2 linked regions of the Chlamydomonas reinhardtii genome follow. Each later gene encodes a partner of the first gene's protein in a complex. Links are inferred from orthologs where the notes say so. Each region holds a gene or a part of one and is shown on either strand. Other genes may lie near its edges.

Region 1 (7,827 bases):
TGGAGAGGGCGTTGCGGGGCGGAGCTGTCAACTTGTGGGCTCACGCCCGCGTCTGGCAGGCCCGGCAGCCGCTATGGACGGGCGGCGGTGTGACGCGGTATCGTTGCTCCCTTGTGCAACTTCTGCCGAGCAGGTACCAGGAGTTCATCAAGACGCAGGCGCAGGTCGCCAAGGAGGAGGCGGAGAAGGCGCGAGACCCGCATGTGGAGAGCCTTGCGCCCGCTCTGGTGCTGGAGGCGCAGGCGCAGCAGCCGCAGGCGGCGGCGGTCGTGGCGGCGGCGGCAGCGGCCGGCGGCGCGCCGGCCAGTGTGGCTAACCTTGTGGGGGGCAGCAAGGCGGTGGCGCGCGTGCACGTGTGGGCCGCTACGGATGGTGAGCGCTGCGTCGATGCCGGGTTGGACTTGCGACGGTGGATACCTGCAAATGCATATGCTGCTGTAAACACACGTGCCGTACTGCATCAAGGGGACTGACGCCTCCAGAGCGGCTGCCTGGGATCTTGACCAGCACCCTCCGCTCCCCGCCCATTCCTGCCCGCCTGCCCGCCTGCCTTGCAGCATCGGGCCTGCGCCCCGCACACTTTGCCGACGGCGCGCCGCTGCGCCCTGGCGCCGCCGCGCCGCCGGGCGGCAGCTGGTCGGGCCTTGTCGTACCGCTGGCCGAGTACCGGGCCGCCATGTCGCGGCCAGGCCAGGTGCTGGTGCACCACTTCCACGTGGCGGCGCACGGCGACGCGGTGCGCGCGGCGGCAGCGGACGCGCCGCCGGGGGCACGCGGCGCGCTGCTGGAGGCGGTGAGCCAGTTCGCGGAGGCCGAGTACCGCCTGGTGCTCAGCAGAAGCGTGCGCACGCTGCAGGTGCGGCGGGGGAGGGCAGGGGAGGGGCGGACGGGGAGGGCGCGCGTAGGGGAGTGGTTTTGGGGTTGTTGGTGGGGATGGCTGCGCTGCCAACGGCGAGAGTCGCGGCAGTATTGTAACTCCCGAGTTGAGGCTCTGCATGGTTTGTCTCGGATCCGGCATCAACACGACCGCCGCCGTCTCCTTGATGCAGGTGCATCGCGACGCCGTGGGCGATAAGGCGTTTGAGGGGCTGCACAAGCAGCAGCAAGAGCGGCTGCAGCAGGCGGCTGCCAAGGCGGCGCAGGTGGCCGTGGCCGGCGCCGACGATGCGGGCACAACGGGCAAAGCGACGGACGCAGGGCAGGGCTTGGGGGCGGCCTCCAACCCGGGTGTGCCACACAGCCTCCTGGAGGAGCTTAAGGTGGTTGGGATGTCCAACCCAAAGCAGCCGGTGGGCGCGGCGGCGGCTGCAGGCAAGGAGGCGGCAGTAGCCAAGAAGAAGCCTCTAATTGAAGAGCTGGATTGACACACGGTATGGGCAGATTGCGTTGTTCCTGCAGGGGCATGTGTGCGATGCGACAGGGTAAGCTGGGGTGCGGGGCAGGTTGGCGCAGTACCATAGAATGCAGGGTGTTTCCAGACCAGATAGGTGCCGGTGGTCAAGGACAGGTTGGCAGAGGCTCTAACGCTTACGAGCGGTTGGTGGTTGGTTGAGAGCCCAGGGAGGCGTCGCGTTACGCCATGGGACTGTGGGTACGCCGACCCAGGCCGACCAGACCCCCCAGGATGCCCGCGTCAGCCAAGTCTGATTTCATTGATACTGCTACACTTCGCGTACGGCATTTGGCGGTGTTGTTATGTTTTATACGGGGTTCCTGTGTCGCCCGCTGGTCCTGCTGACAACTTCACTGGTTTCTTAGCCACTTGACGGTATGCTGTACGGGCAGTCGGCTGTGCCACCCAAACAGCTCTGGCGGTCTGGCCACACCTGGCACTCGATACCCGGTAGCTCGATTGCTTGCCCGCTTACGACCCTGCGCCACCCCGCACCCGGCAATGGACAACGTAACTTTACCACGACATTACATCGTTTACTTGCCGCCGGTTGCGGCCCAATCCTCCACTCCGCACGGAACAGTCTGTATCTATGTTCCAAGCCGCCGCTTAGTCTATCCGACTCTGAAAATACCGCGGCGACCCCATCCTCCTATGCCATGCCGGATAGCTGGCTAGCGTTAGCCGTGCGCTGACGACACGCGCACGCCGGCAGCGCTTGCCATCCGTGCGTTGTGACCTGAACCCCAAAGCCACCGCCGCCAGCTCCAAGCAAGCTCTGTGCACGCCCTGCATCGGCTGCGACTGGATCGCGGCCGAGCGGTGCAGCCTGTCAGCTGCGTTGCGTGCCGCTCACGAGGTCCCAGCTCCATCCGCCCTCTACCACAAGAAAATCCACGCCCGCCGGCGCGCTCGCACGGCGCCGGTCTGTATCTGAAGGCGATTGCAAAATCGGGCACCGCTGACGCCCTGACATCGCCATCCCGCGCGCCGTGTGAACTGCCGCCGCTGGCGGCCCAGACAAAGCACAGCGCCCGCCGATCGCGATGGCCAGCGCAGCCTCCTACTCCGCACAAAGCGCGTGTGCAAACGCCATGCTCCGCTCCTCCACATGCTGCTGCTCTCCATCATGCGGTCAGTCCACTGCTGCTCCTGCTGCTGCTGCATTGCTTCAGCGCTGCTGCTCGCCAGCCGCCAAACCTGCTGCCGCCGGCCTCCAAACCAAGCCGGCCTCCCGCGCAGCCGTCACCTCCATGCCAACACCACAAAATCCATTGTCCGCTGCCTTCCCAAGCCCACAGTCGCCGCCGTTAGCGAGTCCAGCGCGAGCCGCTTACTCCGCCTTGCCCTTAGTGTTCTGCAGGGCCGAGACGCCGATGCGCAGCGAGGGGCCCATAGTGGTGCACACGTACATGGACTTCCAGTACACACCCTTAGCGCCGGGGGGCTTGTTGGCATCGATCGACTCCTGCAAGCAGAAAGGAGCAACCATATATGGGTCAGGGCTCTGGCGCACGATGGTTTGCAGCGGTTCCCGGGTGACCCATTTCGTGCGGAGCCCTGCAAGTCGACAATACGGCGCACTGGCAAAGACGAAGTGCAGCCAGCCACCACCGGCGCACCGCCGTCCGCGCACATGCATGCCGCCCGCCCTCCAGCCCTCCCATCCACCTCGCTTCAATCATGCGCAGCCACAAAGCATTACTAGCAACACAGCAAAGAACATGCCGCGCACCTGCACGGCCTTCAGGTTGAAGAGCAGGTCCTCCTCCTTAAAGTCGGCGCGGCCGAACAGCACGTGCAGGTTGCCGGTCTTGTCCAGGCGGTACTCCACCTTGCCGCCCTTGAAGTCCTTGACGGTCTGTGGGGTTGGAGGCAAGGGAAGGAAGAAGCACGGATGCTTAATGCAGCGCCTGGCGACGCGTACGGGCTAAGAGTATACATACGAGCTGGTCGACAGTGCGGACCCCCGCCAGTCACTTTGGCTGATGCGCCCGGCCTGTTGGGTCGCCCTAAAACTGCATCAAATGTGACGATGGCTTGGCAGCTGACGTGCAAAATCCGCATTCAGTCGTGGTCACTGGGTAGGCCCACAGCCTACACAGCGCATCACCGCACATGCCCCCCTCCCCCCGCAAGCCGATCGCCACCCCCCTCCCTTTGCCAACGCCTCGCGACGGCTGCTTACCCCGGCCACATCGGTGGTCACGGTGCCCGCCTTGGGGTTGGGCATCAGGCCACGGGGACCCAGCACACGACCCAGCTTGGCGACCTTAGGCATCATGTCGGGGGTGGCAATGAGCTTGTCGAACTCCATGAAACCACCGCTAATCTTCTCGATCAGGTCATCCCCGCCCACAACATCGGCACCAGCATCCTTAGCCAGCTTGATGTTGTCGTTCTGGGTCAGAACGGCCACGCGCAGCTCCTTGCCGGTGCCGAATGGCAGCGACACAGTCGCGCGCAGCTGCTGGTCCGAGAACTTGGGGTCCAGGCCCATGCGGGCGTGGAACTCCACGGACTCAGTGAACTTAGTGGAGGCGGTCTGCTTCACCAGGCGAATAGCCTCCTTGGGGTCCAGCTCCGAGGTGCGGCCAGGAGTCTTGGTCTGCATCGCCTTGAAGCGCTTGGACCGCGGCTTCTCCTTACGCACATTCTGCTGAGGCTTGTTGGCCACGACCTCAAACTCAACCTCCTCGTCCAGGGCCGCCGCGCGGACGACCACCACAGGGCGAGGCGCCACCACGGGCCTGAAGGGCGCCACCGAGCGAACGCCGGCGCTGGGCTGCAGCAGCCGCTGCTGCAGGGACATCATGGCCATGGTTGCTAAACTAATGTAAATAGTGTAGTGGGGGCCAACGGGGCTCTGAGTCGAGCCTAGAGCAAATTGTGGCCGGGCACCATTGCCCATCGCGCCCCCCAATTCCCCAATTCCTGCCAGACATTGCCACGAAAAAATGTAGTCCTTGTGTTACATGCATAATCCAGGCTCACGCGATTTAACCCACTTGCAAGGGCAAACTCGCCGCCGCGCGAGCTGCAAGTCCACATGCCTCGCGGCCAAGCCGCTCGCGGCCGTCCCCCGGCACAACGAACCGAAGAACGATTTTATTGGCGCATTCAAGCATCCTTGTAAAACACACGTGACTCACAGTCACACGGACATGCCCACAGCATCCCCCAACCTGCCCACACCCACAGCACCAGGGGAGGCACAGCACTAAGCGCAAATCCCCTGCCTGCATCCGCGCCTGCGCATGCACAACCCCTTGCCTTCATCCACACCCGAAATCTAGTCAGGATTTTCACACCAGTGGCTCTACATGACGCCCGCTCCGGCATGAAAGCCTGATAACACGCGCGCGTCCTCCAGGTCCGGCTGGCTGCCATTTACCACGAGGCTTTGCCCTCCTTCTTCAGCTTGGCCAGGAGGGTCGCGGTCTCCACGGCGGTCAGGGCGGCCTCGCCACCCTTGTTGCCGACCTTGCCACCGGTGCGGTCCAGAGCCTGCAGGGGCAAGAATGCCGAAGGCACAGGGTTCGGGCCGCGCTCGCCTTGCCCCACGAGCACCCCTCCGCACTGACCACCCTCGGTCCTTGGCACTCCGGCCCAAGCCACATGCAGACATGAAACTCAGACACGCCCATGGTGAACCCCGCCTGGGATCCGCGTTTGCAATTGCGGCGCACCTGCTCCAGGTCGTCGGTGGTCAGCACGCCGAACACGACGGGCACGCCTGCACACGCACGCACCGCAGCCCAGGTCACGTGTCGATGCATGATGACAATGGCGCATTCGCATGTCAGTCTACGACCTGACCCCTGAGCCCGCGGCGGCACTCACCGGTGTCAACGCTGCAGTTGAGCACGCCGCTGGTGGCCGCGCTCACGACGGCGTCGTAGTGGGTGGTAGCGCCACGAATCTGTGCAGAGCAGCCAGCCAATACAGTTGGCTTGCCAAATCAATCCTTTGGGTGTGCTCCGCCCTGGGGTCGTCTCCCAAACGTTCCGCAAGCAGGTTCGCCGTGGGGTGATATACCAGTGCTGTGCCATCCCGCCAACTCACCACAGCGCCGATGCACACCACGCCTGCGTACTTTCCCGATTTTGCCATGGACTTGGCGATGACGGGCATCTCGAAGCTGCCCGGCACCCAAGCGACCTGCAAAACAGCGCGCGATTCAGTCGCACGCATGCGTACGCACAATGCCGACCGAGCTGTGCTTACGTCCACGTTCTCCTTGGGCACGCCATGCGCCTCAAAGGTCTCCATAGCACCCTCCAGCAGGCCCTTGGTGATCAGGCTGTTGAAGCGAGCGACCACCACCGCGTACTTGCTGCCAGGCTCCGCCATAACAGAGCCATGGTAAGTGGCCCGAGCAATGCAAGAGGCACGGCTCGAGGGGATTTGGGCGACGCCTGGTGCGACCAAAAACAAGGAATTCATTCGGCGGCCATTACACTCGCAAAAGGCCAGGTTACCGCTTTGCAAATTCGCTCACCCTGCACATGGTGAGCCTCCTGCTGCACCTGAGGCACAACGCTGACGCTAGGGCGCGGCACAGCAACACGGCTCGCAACCAGCGAGTGCTGGCGCCGAGCGGAAGCGCCCACGCACCGACCAACACGGCTCTGAAGGGCGGCCATGGTAACGTATGTTTGTGCAAGTAGCGAAAGTGAAGGTAGGGGAAATGGATGGGAAAGAGGAAGGGGAAGGGTCGGGGGGGCAACCGTCCGCAACGGCATGCATGGCGTACAGCCGTTGCCCGCCGCACAAGCGCATTGCACACAGGTAGCTCTTATACATGTGTATCCCTACGTTGGGTACGAAGTGGGGCCACGGTAGGGGGAGGTGTCCCGCCACATAAGGCAGGAACTAGCAGGAAGCACTCCAAGGCACCATGAGAGCACGGTGCCACCTGGCGGCACAGCCTGCAGACCTAGGGGCGAGGCCAAGGGCGAGGCGGGCTTCGGCTGTAACAGCTTTCCCTGGGAATCTGAGGCACCTGACAACTCGTGACTCGGTCACTCACCATGCCTGCCAACAACGCCATGTCGCCATCACGACGCCACATACGGTAGCCGCATACCCTCAGCGTCTCTGCGAGTTGGCCGTGTTAGCCTCCTGCCGTGCTGGCGTGCGCCCCCGCCTGCGTGCGAACGGGCATTGGATGGCCGTGGCCAAAGGACCCCACAACCGCGGCTGGCATGCTGGCTGCCGTTGCTCGCGTTTACTCAACACGACTGAAAGGAGTGAAGGAACACCCACAGACTACAGCAGCCGTACACAAGCAAGGTGGCCACTGATTACCACAGTCCAAGCGAGGACCATGCAATCCAATCAAGTCCTCATCACGGCAGTTACTGTTCAACACATGACACCTGGGAGTGGGAGCAGCCCCGTACCAGAACCACCCAAGCGCATGTCAGCACCCAGGCGCCGCACGCAAAACCACTGTACGTCGTCCACAGGCGTGCCGTGCGAGCACGCCTCTGTGCTTGCTAACAAATAGTCCAGTCATAGTCAGCCCGGTCTGCATCCGCACCTGCCACGCCCCACAACCCCTTACACAACCAACCGTACTCGCACACGCTTCCGCAATCACGCAACCGGGCGCGCTACCTCTTTTGCCGCTTAGGGTCGTTGCCGCCGCTCTTCTCCTTCAGCGTCACCTTGCGCACCGTGCGCTCGTCCCAGGTGCTCTTGCTCAGCTTGCAGGGCCGGTTGCCAATGTACTTGCCGTTCATCTCACGCAGCGCCTTGGCAAAGTCCTGGCCGTCCAGAAAGCTCACGAAGCCGTAGCCCTTGCTCTTCTTGGTGCGGGGGTCGCGCACGATCTGTCGGGGCAAGGGGGTGGGCAAACGAGTGGGCAACGGTACCCTGGAGTGACAGGCTTGCAAGCCAAGTTACGGCGTAACGTGCGGCATGAAAGCCCGCGGAGGAGGTGCGCTGGCGTCACGTATTCGCCTCTCCTCCCGCTAACAAGCCACGTCTGGCCACGCCCACCGGCACTCTCCGCTGCAGCCGTCCATGGCTCTACAACCTGACTCTGATGACGCGCTTACGCCGGCTCACCTTCGCCTTGGCAAAGGATGAGTACTTGGAGAACGACTTTGCGAGCAGGTCGTCAGTGACCTCGTTCCCGATGTCGCCCACAAAGATGCGGAAGTCGTTGTCCGGCCACTCATTCAGCGTGGGGTCGACCCACTTTTCGCCGCCCGCACCGCGCAACAGCACCTTCTTCTTGCCGCCTGGCTTGGCCCCGCCCGCGCCGGCTGCGCCACCTTGCTGCTGCTGCTGCTGTTGTTGTTGTTGTTGTTGCTGCTGCTGCTGTTGCTGCATCATGCCGCCGCCGCCCATGCCCATCCCCATGCCCATTCCCATGCCCATTCCCATCCCCATGCCCATCCCCATGCCGCCGCCGTAGCCCATGC
Region 2 (6,940 bases), on another chromosome or scaffold:
GCTGGCCGCGGCGGCGGACGGGGCCACTGCCAGCCACATCTTGGTCGGCCCTGCACGCGGTCGGGCATGTGGGCATGCGGGCAGGCATGTGGGCATGCGGGCAGGCATGCAGGCAAGCGGACATTGCAGCACTGCACACCAGCCCCGCGAGCAGGATGATAAGCAACACGGCGTCGGCTTGCCGCCACTGCCCCTAAGCCCCGCGCACATGAGCTGCTGCTGCTGCTGCTGCTGTCTACTCATACGTAATCCTGCTGCTCTTTGAAACAGCGATCGAGGTTCAGCGCAGCCGCCACAACAACACATGATCCCACGGGCGCCCTAGTCGCCTCGGCCATGCCTGCACGCCCTGACCCCAATCCCGCGCCCAAACCCTCCCCCGCGCCCAAACCCTCCCCCGCGCCCGCCTTTGCCCTGCTGTCCGCTGTCCCTGCATACCACTCCCACAGCTCTACCCAGGGTGGACCAACCCCAAGCCCGTGATGCCGCAGCCCACGCCCGGTACGCCTCAGTCCGCGCCACTCACGCTGCAGCCTGCTCCACGCCTCCACAGAGGTCTGCGCCACCACCAGCCCGCGCAGCGCCCGCCGCACCGCGCCCCGCTCCCGGTCGCTCAGGCCCGCCTGCAGCGCCGCCGCCGCGTCCGGACCCAAGCTGCGCGGCACCTGGTGACGCCGCGCGCCGCGCCGCGGCACGGCCTGGCCCGGGGGGTGCAACTGCTGCTGTTGCTGCTGTTCCTGTTGCCCGTGCGGCGGCGGTGACAGTGGCGGCGGCGGCATAGGCGGCTTCCAACCGCCTGTTTCTGCGTCTGTAGCAGCTGCCGCCGCCGCGGCCTCTGACCCAGATGCCGCCGCCGTGCTGCCTGCCGCCGGCGCAAGCAGCACGGCTCCCGTTGCTGCTGCAGGCTGCGGCTGCGGCGGCCGCGGCGGTTGCAGCGGCTGCGGGGATGGGGGCGGCTGCAGCAGAGGCAGCAGCGGCTGGCCGTCGGGCCCACTGAAGGTGATGTGGTATAGCTCCCGGGGCCGGTGGGGGCAGGCGCCCAGGACCACCGCCACGGCCGCGGGCTGCGCTGCCGCCAGCAGCTGGGGGCTGGCGGCGGCCAGCAGCGCATCCATGGACTCGGAAAACTGCGAGATGCGGGAGTTTGTCACAGAGCACAAGCACGCAAGTGTGTGTGTATTTGTGTTGCGATGGAGGGACCATGACCGTGGGGCATGCCCCCGTAGCACGACCCAGGTGGGAGTGTTCGCCCCGGTGTAAATTGTGGCCCGGGTGAGTGGGAGCGGGCCTGGGCGGCAAGGACACGGCAAGGACACGGCTCGCAACCCGTCGACCGCAGCCCCGGGTTGCCTCAAGCGCACCTTGATGATGCGGTTTACAGCCGAGGGCAGCCGCAGGCGCCTGCTGCGCCGCGGCCGGGTCAGCCTTGCATGAGTCGCACCCGAGGCGCGAAGCTCCTGCTCCTGTTTCTGCTCCTGTTCATGCTGTTCCGCCAGCGACTCCAGGCTACTCTGCATGATGCCGAGAGCCAATAGCACTGGTAAGGTAGACTTTGATAGGACAGATTTTGGCGCGCACGCACCTGCAGCGCGGCCCGAAGGTGCTCAAAGGGCGTCTGCGTCTGGCCGCGCGCAAATTGGATGAACTTGATGAGCTCCTGCAGCAGCGCGGCAGCAAGGCCGCTGTGCAGGCTCACGCCGGGGCCCAGCCTCACCGACAGCTTCACCGGCAGCGGTGGGTGCCGCGAGGATGCTGCCGAAAGCGCTGCAGCGCCGCCCCGAGACCTCAACATGTGTTCTTGTGTATTACCAGCTCGACTGTTTCTGTGTCTGCCGTTGACTACGTTCTTCTGGGCTTTGAAATCAGTGTCCCCGTGCTGGCCCTTCTACCCCTTCTGCATCTGACCGGTACGAGCCCCCCCCCTCCCGCCAGGGGCCCCCCGGCCCCCCGCGCACGGTTGCCCTCACTTGAATCCCCCCTCCCGATTCCCAGCAGCAGGGAGGGCGTGCAGGCGTGCAGCAGGCGCGTCAGGTCACATCGGATATGCATTTACAGAGCTCGACAACGCTCTCCTATTTGATTGCACACGTCTGTCCGGCGTTCTGTCCGGCACTCAACCACACCGCCTCTCTCTCCAAGCTCTCTCCGCGCCTCTGCGTATCGACGTGCGTATATGCAGCTACCCACCCCACGTCCTGCTACGAAGAGCCACGAGCCGTTGGGTTAAGAGCTTCGCAGCCGTCGCCACGCGAGTCAAAATGTGGCCAGGCCAGCAGCTCACACACACACCAACCAGCCTACGTTGCTCCTTGGCGCGCGCTGCCCGGGGCGGTCAATTCCGGTCGAGCCTTAGCCCGAACCCCTGCGCCTTGGGTGCGCTGCCCCGTAAGACTCCTGCTCCACGCGCGCTTCTAACAACAAACCCACATCAAGCGCCGCACGGGTCGGCATGTCGGCATGCCGCCTCGCCTCGCCATCTGTCAGGCCTCTCCCTCCGCGCTGCTGCCAGCGCCGATGCGCCTGCGCCCGAGGTCGCTCCTGATGGCACCCGCGCGTTGCTTCCCTGCGCCGCTGTGCTGCTGCACTGACGGCGCCAACTTCTACACATGGCCGCCTCCACACGTCCGCCCCGCTCCCAGCCCAGGCGCCAGCCGCCGGCGCTGACAAACCCCCCTGCTAGCTGTGCATGCTGCTGCCAGCGGCCTGTCGGCCGCCGGCGCCACTCCAGCGAGCCGCTTACTTCTTCTTGCCCTTCTTGTTCTGCGGGGTCAAGGGGCGAGAGGATGCGCGGGAAATTAGGTGTGATCAGGCTCGCACCGGACATGTCCGCACGTACCCGCTCGAACGGCACGCCGGTGCCGTGGAGGGCACACGGGTGGGGCTGCTCAGCCCCTGAGGGTCTCCCCCCCCCCGCCCTTGCGTAACCCCCGAGAACAGCGCCATCCATTCCTCCAAGCATCAAATAGAGCGCGACCGACCGTCCGACCTAGCTGCCGTGCACATGGCCCACAAGCAGGGATGGCCACACCCCAGAACTTCTGGCGGACCCGAGCGCTGTTTCGCCAGCCCTTACCGCGGCAGCAGCGGGCTTCTCCTTCGCCGACGGGTCCTCGGCCTTGCCGGCCTGCAGAATGGGCACGACCGCGAGCTCCTCCAGCTCCGCGAACCGCTTCTTGAACTTGTTCAGCTGGCCATCGTCCAGCACCATGGTGGTGCGGTTGCCCTGGTAGAATGGGTGGTTGCCCGAGTAGATATCCACGTTGTACGTGGCCTTGGTGCCGCCCACGGTCATGACCTCCACACCGTTGCAAATGACCTTAGCCTCCTCAAACCACTGAGGGTGAATGCCCTCCTTGGCCATGCGCGCGGCGGTCACGCCCCGGCGCGCCTGGCCGATGCGGACGTTGCCCAGGCGCGAGCCCGAGAACGCGGTGACGCGAGAGCTGGTGAGGGTCGCCATCGCGCTGCTAGTTCCTTTCCCTGCAGCAAATGAAAAGCGTTTGTGAGGCCCCGGAGCGAGTAGAGCGAGCGGCGGACCCAGTTCAGGCTGCGGCCGAATTTGTGGACTGGCTGCGCGGTCGGTCGCTAGCGAGGGACTGACCTTATGGCGTGACTCTGACGCCTACTAGAATGTAAAAGAACTAGTTAAGTAGAGTGGAGAACAGGGCTCGAGGTCCACACAGGTCCCTCGCTTGCCGGCGATGCAGGGGCGATTGAAGGGGGCAGGTGAAAGGAGGCTCCTCCACTTGGCTAAATTAAATCTGTGATACAGTATCATTAGGCACGCCATAATTTCAACTGCACAGCCATAAAACCACCGCGCAGGCAACAAAAGACTTTGCTGCGGGTCGATCTGAGGGAATGGTGGTCCAATTCGCGCACTAGTCTTAATATAATTGGTTCATAGCCCAGTAGAAAAGAATGGGACAGTTCTACTCGCGAGAGTTCGATGGCGACCCCTACGTCGACCTTATGCGCTCGCTCCCAGAGCGGGAGCTGGTCTGGTGGGCGCAGAAAGTCATTTGGGTGAGTCGGGGCACAGCTGTTTGCCGCCATGCGAGGTGGCAAGTGCAAGGAAGTTGGTTTGCTGTGCCCCGACACCTCGTTTGCGGCGGCTGAGTAGCGTTAAAGCTGCATTGAGTTACAAAATGGTTGAACGGTTTGCGATATGGCCAATAGATCTGCGGGGTGGCTCGAAAGCGGCGACACACGGCGCCTGCGCCTTTCTCCACCCCAGACCCCACACGCAACGGGCCCGGCAGCCACGCACAGAGCGACGCGGGGGACAGGGTGCAGCAGCTGGCGCTGCATCGTGTGTTGCTACTAGTGGCTGTATCTGCGCGCCTGCGGGTCTTGGCGATGGGGACGTTAGCGGTGCGGCCCCGTGCCTGCCGCACTCACATCTCATATCCCTCTCGGCCGCCGGCTTGCTTGCGGCAACCACGGCGCACGCAACACACCGAATGCAGTCAGCTGGCGTGGTAACAAAACCAAACAAATGCAACGTAGGGTAGGGGTACGGTTGCACCCGCCCCGCATGGCCCCCGCCCTGCGCCGCCCCCTCTCCCCCCCCCTCCCGCTCACCCCTTGCCTGCTCCCTGTCAATCTTCCATTCCCGCCCCGCAATCCCCCCCCCGCCCCCTACACACACCCACCCACCTCACAAAACAGCTGGCGGAGGGCTTCACGTTCGTGGACCACTTCGCGCGCACCTACCCGCGGCTGCTCCAGCACAAGTGCCAGCGCTGCAAGGGCGCCGGCGTCATGACCTGCCCCGCCTGCCTAGGCGACGCGCGCGTGTCGGGCGGCGCGCGGCGGCGGGCGGCGCTTGCGGGGCTGGGCGGCGTCGCTGAGGGCCGGTGAGGCGTCGGGGGCCTGTGGGCAGGGGGCCATGGGCAGGGGGTCTGGGGAAGGGCAAGCGTGTAGCCTAATAAAGGGAGTTAACTGAATGGGATTCACTGAAGTGGTCGAGGCCGGCTGCGGGGAGGAGGGGGGGCTGTGGGGTGTAGGTGGGCTGCAGACGGCGGGGTGTGTCGGGCGCCTTCGGGCGTGGCTGCGTGGCGCTGGTTTGCACAACCCGGTCCGGTTCTGGCCCGATCCGGCTCCAATGCGCACCCGGGTGGCGGCGCACGCACACAAGCACATACCCACATACGCGCACACGCGCCTGACCCTCAACTGCATCCTTCGCTGCTGCTGCGGCCCCCTCCCCCGCTGCTGCGGCCCCCGCTGCCGCAGCTCCGCGCACGACCACGACCACGAGGCGGGCGCGGACGGCGGCTGCCGCGTGTGCGGCACGGCGTGCGCCTGGGACGCGGAGAGCGAGTGGATGGAGCGGTGGGGCGAGTGGGAGTCGCGCCTGGCCTACTACGACAAGGCCACGGGGCCGCTCATGGATGAGTGGTGAGAGAATGGGCGGTGGGATTAGGAGGGGAGGGGTTCGGCTAGCGTGTGGCGTGAGAGCGTGGAAGCTGGGGGATTGGGGAGGAGCGAGGGGATTGTTTGTCCGATGTATTCTCTCCACAACCGGAAGAGCGCCCTGCACCTGTTGCCCCACCCCTAGTCACGTCTTCGTCTTCAGTCTTCTTGGCATCCTGTACCGCTTTTCCAACTATCTTTGCGGCCCCCTGCGTCCCTGCTCTCTGCCTGTCCTTGGCCTGCATCGCTAATCAGACCCTTTTGAATTCCCTGCCTTTCCTGCTCCCTCGCCAGGTATGAGGACGTGTTGAACGCGGGCAACCTGGAGGAGGACACGCCGCCGGTGGAGGACGACCCGCCCGGGCCCGAGGTGAGGGAGGAGGGGCAGGAGGAAGCGCGGGCGATTAAATCACAAGTATGAAGGGAGGATCGTATATGCCCGAGCTCACATGAAACAGGTCACGATTGTCAAGGAGTGGCCGCCCCCGGGGGGCAGGAGCGAAGCGGTGGCGGGGCAAGGCGGGGGAAAGCCGGCGCGGGGCAGTAGGAACCCGGGTTTGTGGCCGGCGGCGATCGGACGGGGAACAGAGCCCAGGGAAGATAGTCCCCGAGTCCCGAAGAGGCCGGGACAGCCCTAGTTGCCTAACCACCTGTGTGTACCCTACCCCATGCACACAGGTCACGGGCCGCTGGGCGGAGCACGACCGCGCGCTGCATAAGGACAAGAAGCGCATGGCGGCGCTGATGCGGCGCTGGGGCCACCCCTACGACGCCGACGCCAACCTGGGCTACCAGATTGTGGACCCCACCGCCAGCATGGGCGAGAACGTGTGGAACATGGCGCAGGTGCGGGCGGGGCGCCGTGTGTCTGTGTGTGTATGTGTGTGTGTTAAAGAGCAGAAGGAAACGAATGCGTGTGCGTGTGTGTTACGCAAAGAAGTGCTCCGGTTTCTGAAGCGTATGTGCATATGCAAGCACACGCGTGTGATTTGCTTGCTATGTGTTTGAGGGTTGTGGGGTTTTAGGGTTTCTGGGGCGGCCGAACAGCGCTCCCTAACCACTTACCACTTGCAACCCGCGCGCACACACACGCGCGCTCCACACACACACACGCGTCCCACCCCACACACGCGCGCTCCGCACACAGGTGTACAACTCGCTGCCGCCGGAGCTGAACCCGCTGCGCACCCAGCACCTGGCGGACCGCGGCGGCGGCAACACGCAGGCGGCGGTGGAGGCGGCCCGCAGCGCCTTCGACGCGCAGGTGGGGAGTGGGCGCGGGTTGCGAGGACCAAAGCAAAAGAAGGGGGGAAGCTGTCCATGGAAGACGGGGGGGGGCGATGAATTACACGTTTGAAGTGAGGAGGGGTGGGCCAAGAAGGCATGGCTCGGGAGCGGGCCTTGTTGTTGCCTGTGAACCGCGTCGTTGTGGCATCAGCACTGGTCTATTGCATCGCCTCATGTCCAGTCAAGTCTGGGTCCCGAGATGGCTAGCACCTCTCTTCTCTTTACTTGCTCTCAC

The links. The genes of interacting proteins can lie anywhere in the genome.
Region 2: CHLRE_02g088900v5 (region 1) and CHLRE_08g365400v5 share a complex: the UniProt entries of both Arabidopsis thaliana proteins name them as parts of the 50S ribosomal subunit. The link is inferred for Chlamydomonas reinhardtii from reciprocal best matches to the Arabidopsis thaliana genes EMB3126 and emb2184.

What each region holds. Positions count from the first base shown.
Region 1 is NC_057005.1:2,074,935-2,082,761, reverse strand, and holds CHLRE_02g088900v5 (uncharacterized protein), read right to left. Parts: upstream 4,247-7,827; 5' UTR 4,215-4,246; coding exon 3,582-4,214; intron 3,255-3,581; coding exon 3,129-3,254; intron 2,862-3,128; coding exon 2,727-2,861; 3' UTR 1,909-2,726; downstream 1-1,908. Other genes in the region: CHLRE_02g088950v5 (uncharacterized protein), read left to right, coding at 134-372, 558-856, 1,050-1,364; CHLRE_02g088850v5 (uncharacterized protein), read right to left, coding at 4,784-4,900, 5,083-5,129, 5,237-5,315, 5,459-5,554, 5,621-5,811, 5,895-6,039; CHLRE_02g088800v5 (uncharacterized protein), read right to left, coding at 7,012-7,230, 7,469-7,827. UniProt on the Arabidopsis thaliana protein: This protein binds directly to 23S ribosomal RNA.
Region 2 is NC_057011.1:1,622,723-1,629,662, forward strand, and holds CHLRE_08g365400v5 (uncharacterized protein), read right to left. Parts: upstream 3,652-6,940; 5' UTR 3,602-3,651; intron 3,481-3,601; 5' UTR 3,461-3,480; coding exon 3,074-3,460; intron 2,761-3,073; coding exon 2,737-2,760; 3' UTR 2,038-2,736; downstream 1-2,037. Other genes in the region: CHLRE_08g365351v5 (uncharacterized protein), read right to left, coding at 1-50, 527-1,127, 1,362-1,511, 1,583-1,792; CHLRE_08g365450v5 (uncharacterized protein), read left to right, coding at 3,922-4,026, 4,672-4,859, 5,239-5,403, 5,713-5,788, 6,097-6,264, 6,566-6,682. UniProt on the Arabidopsis thaliana protein: Binds the 23S rRNA.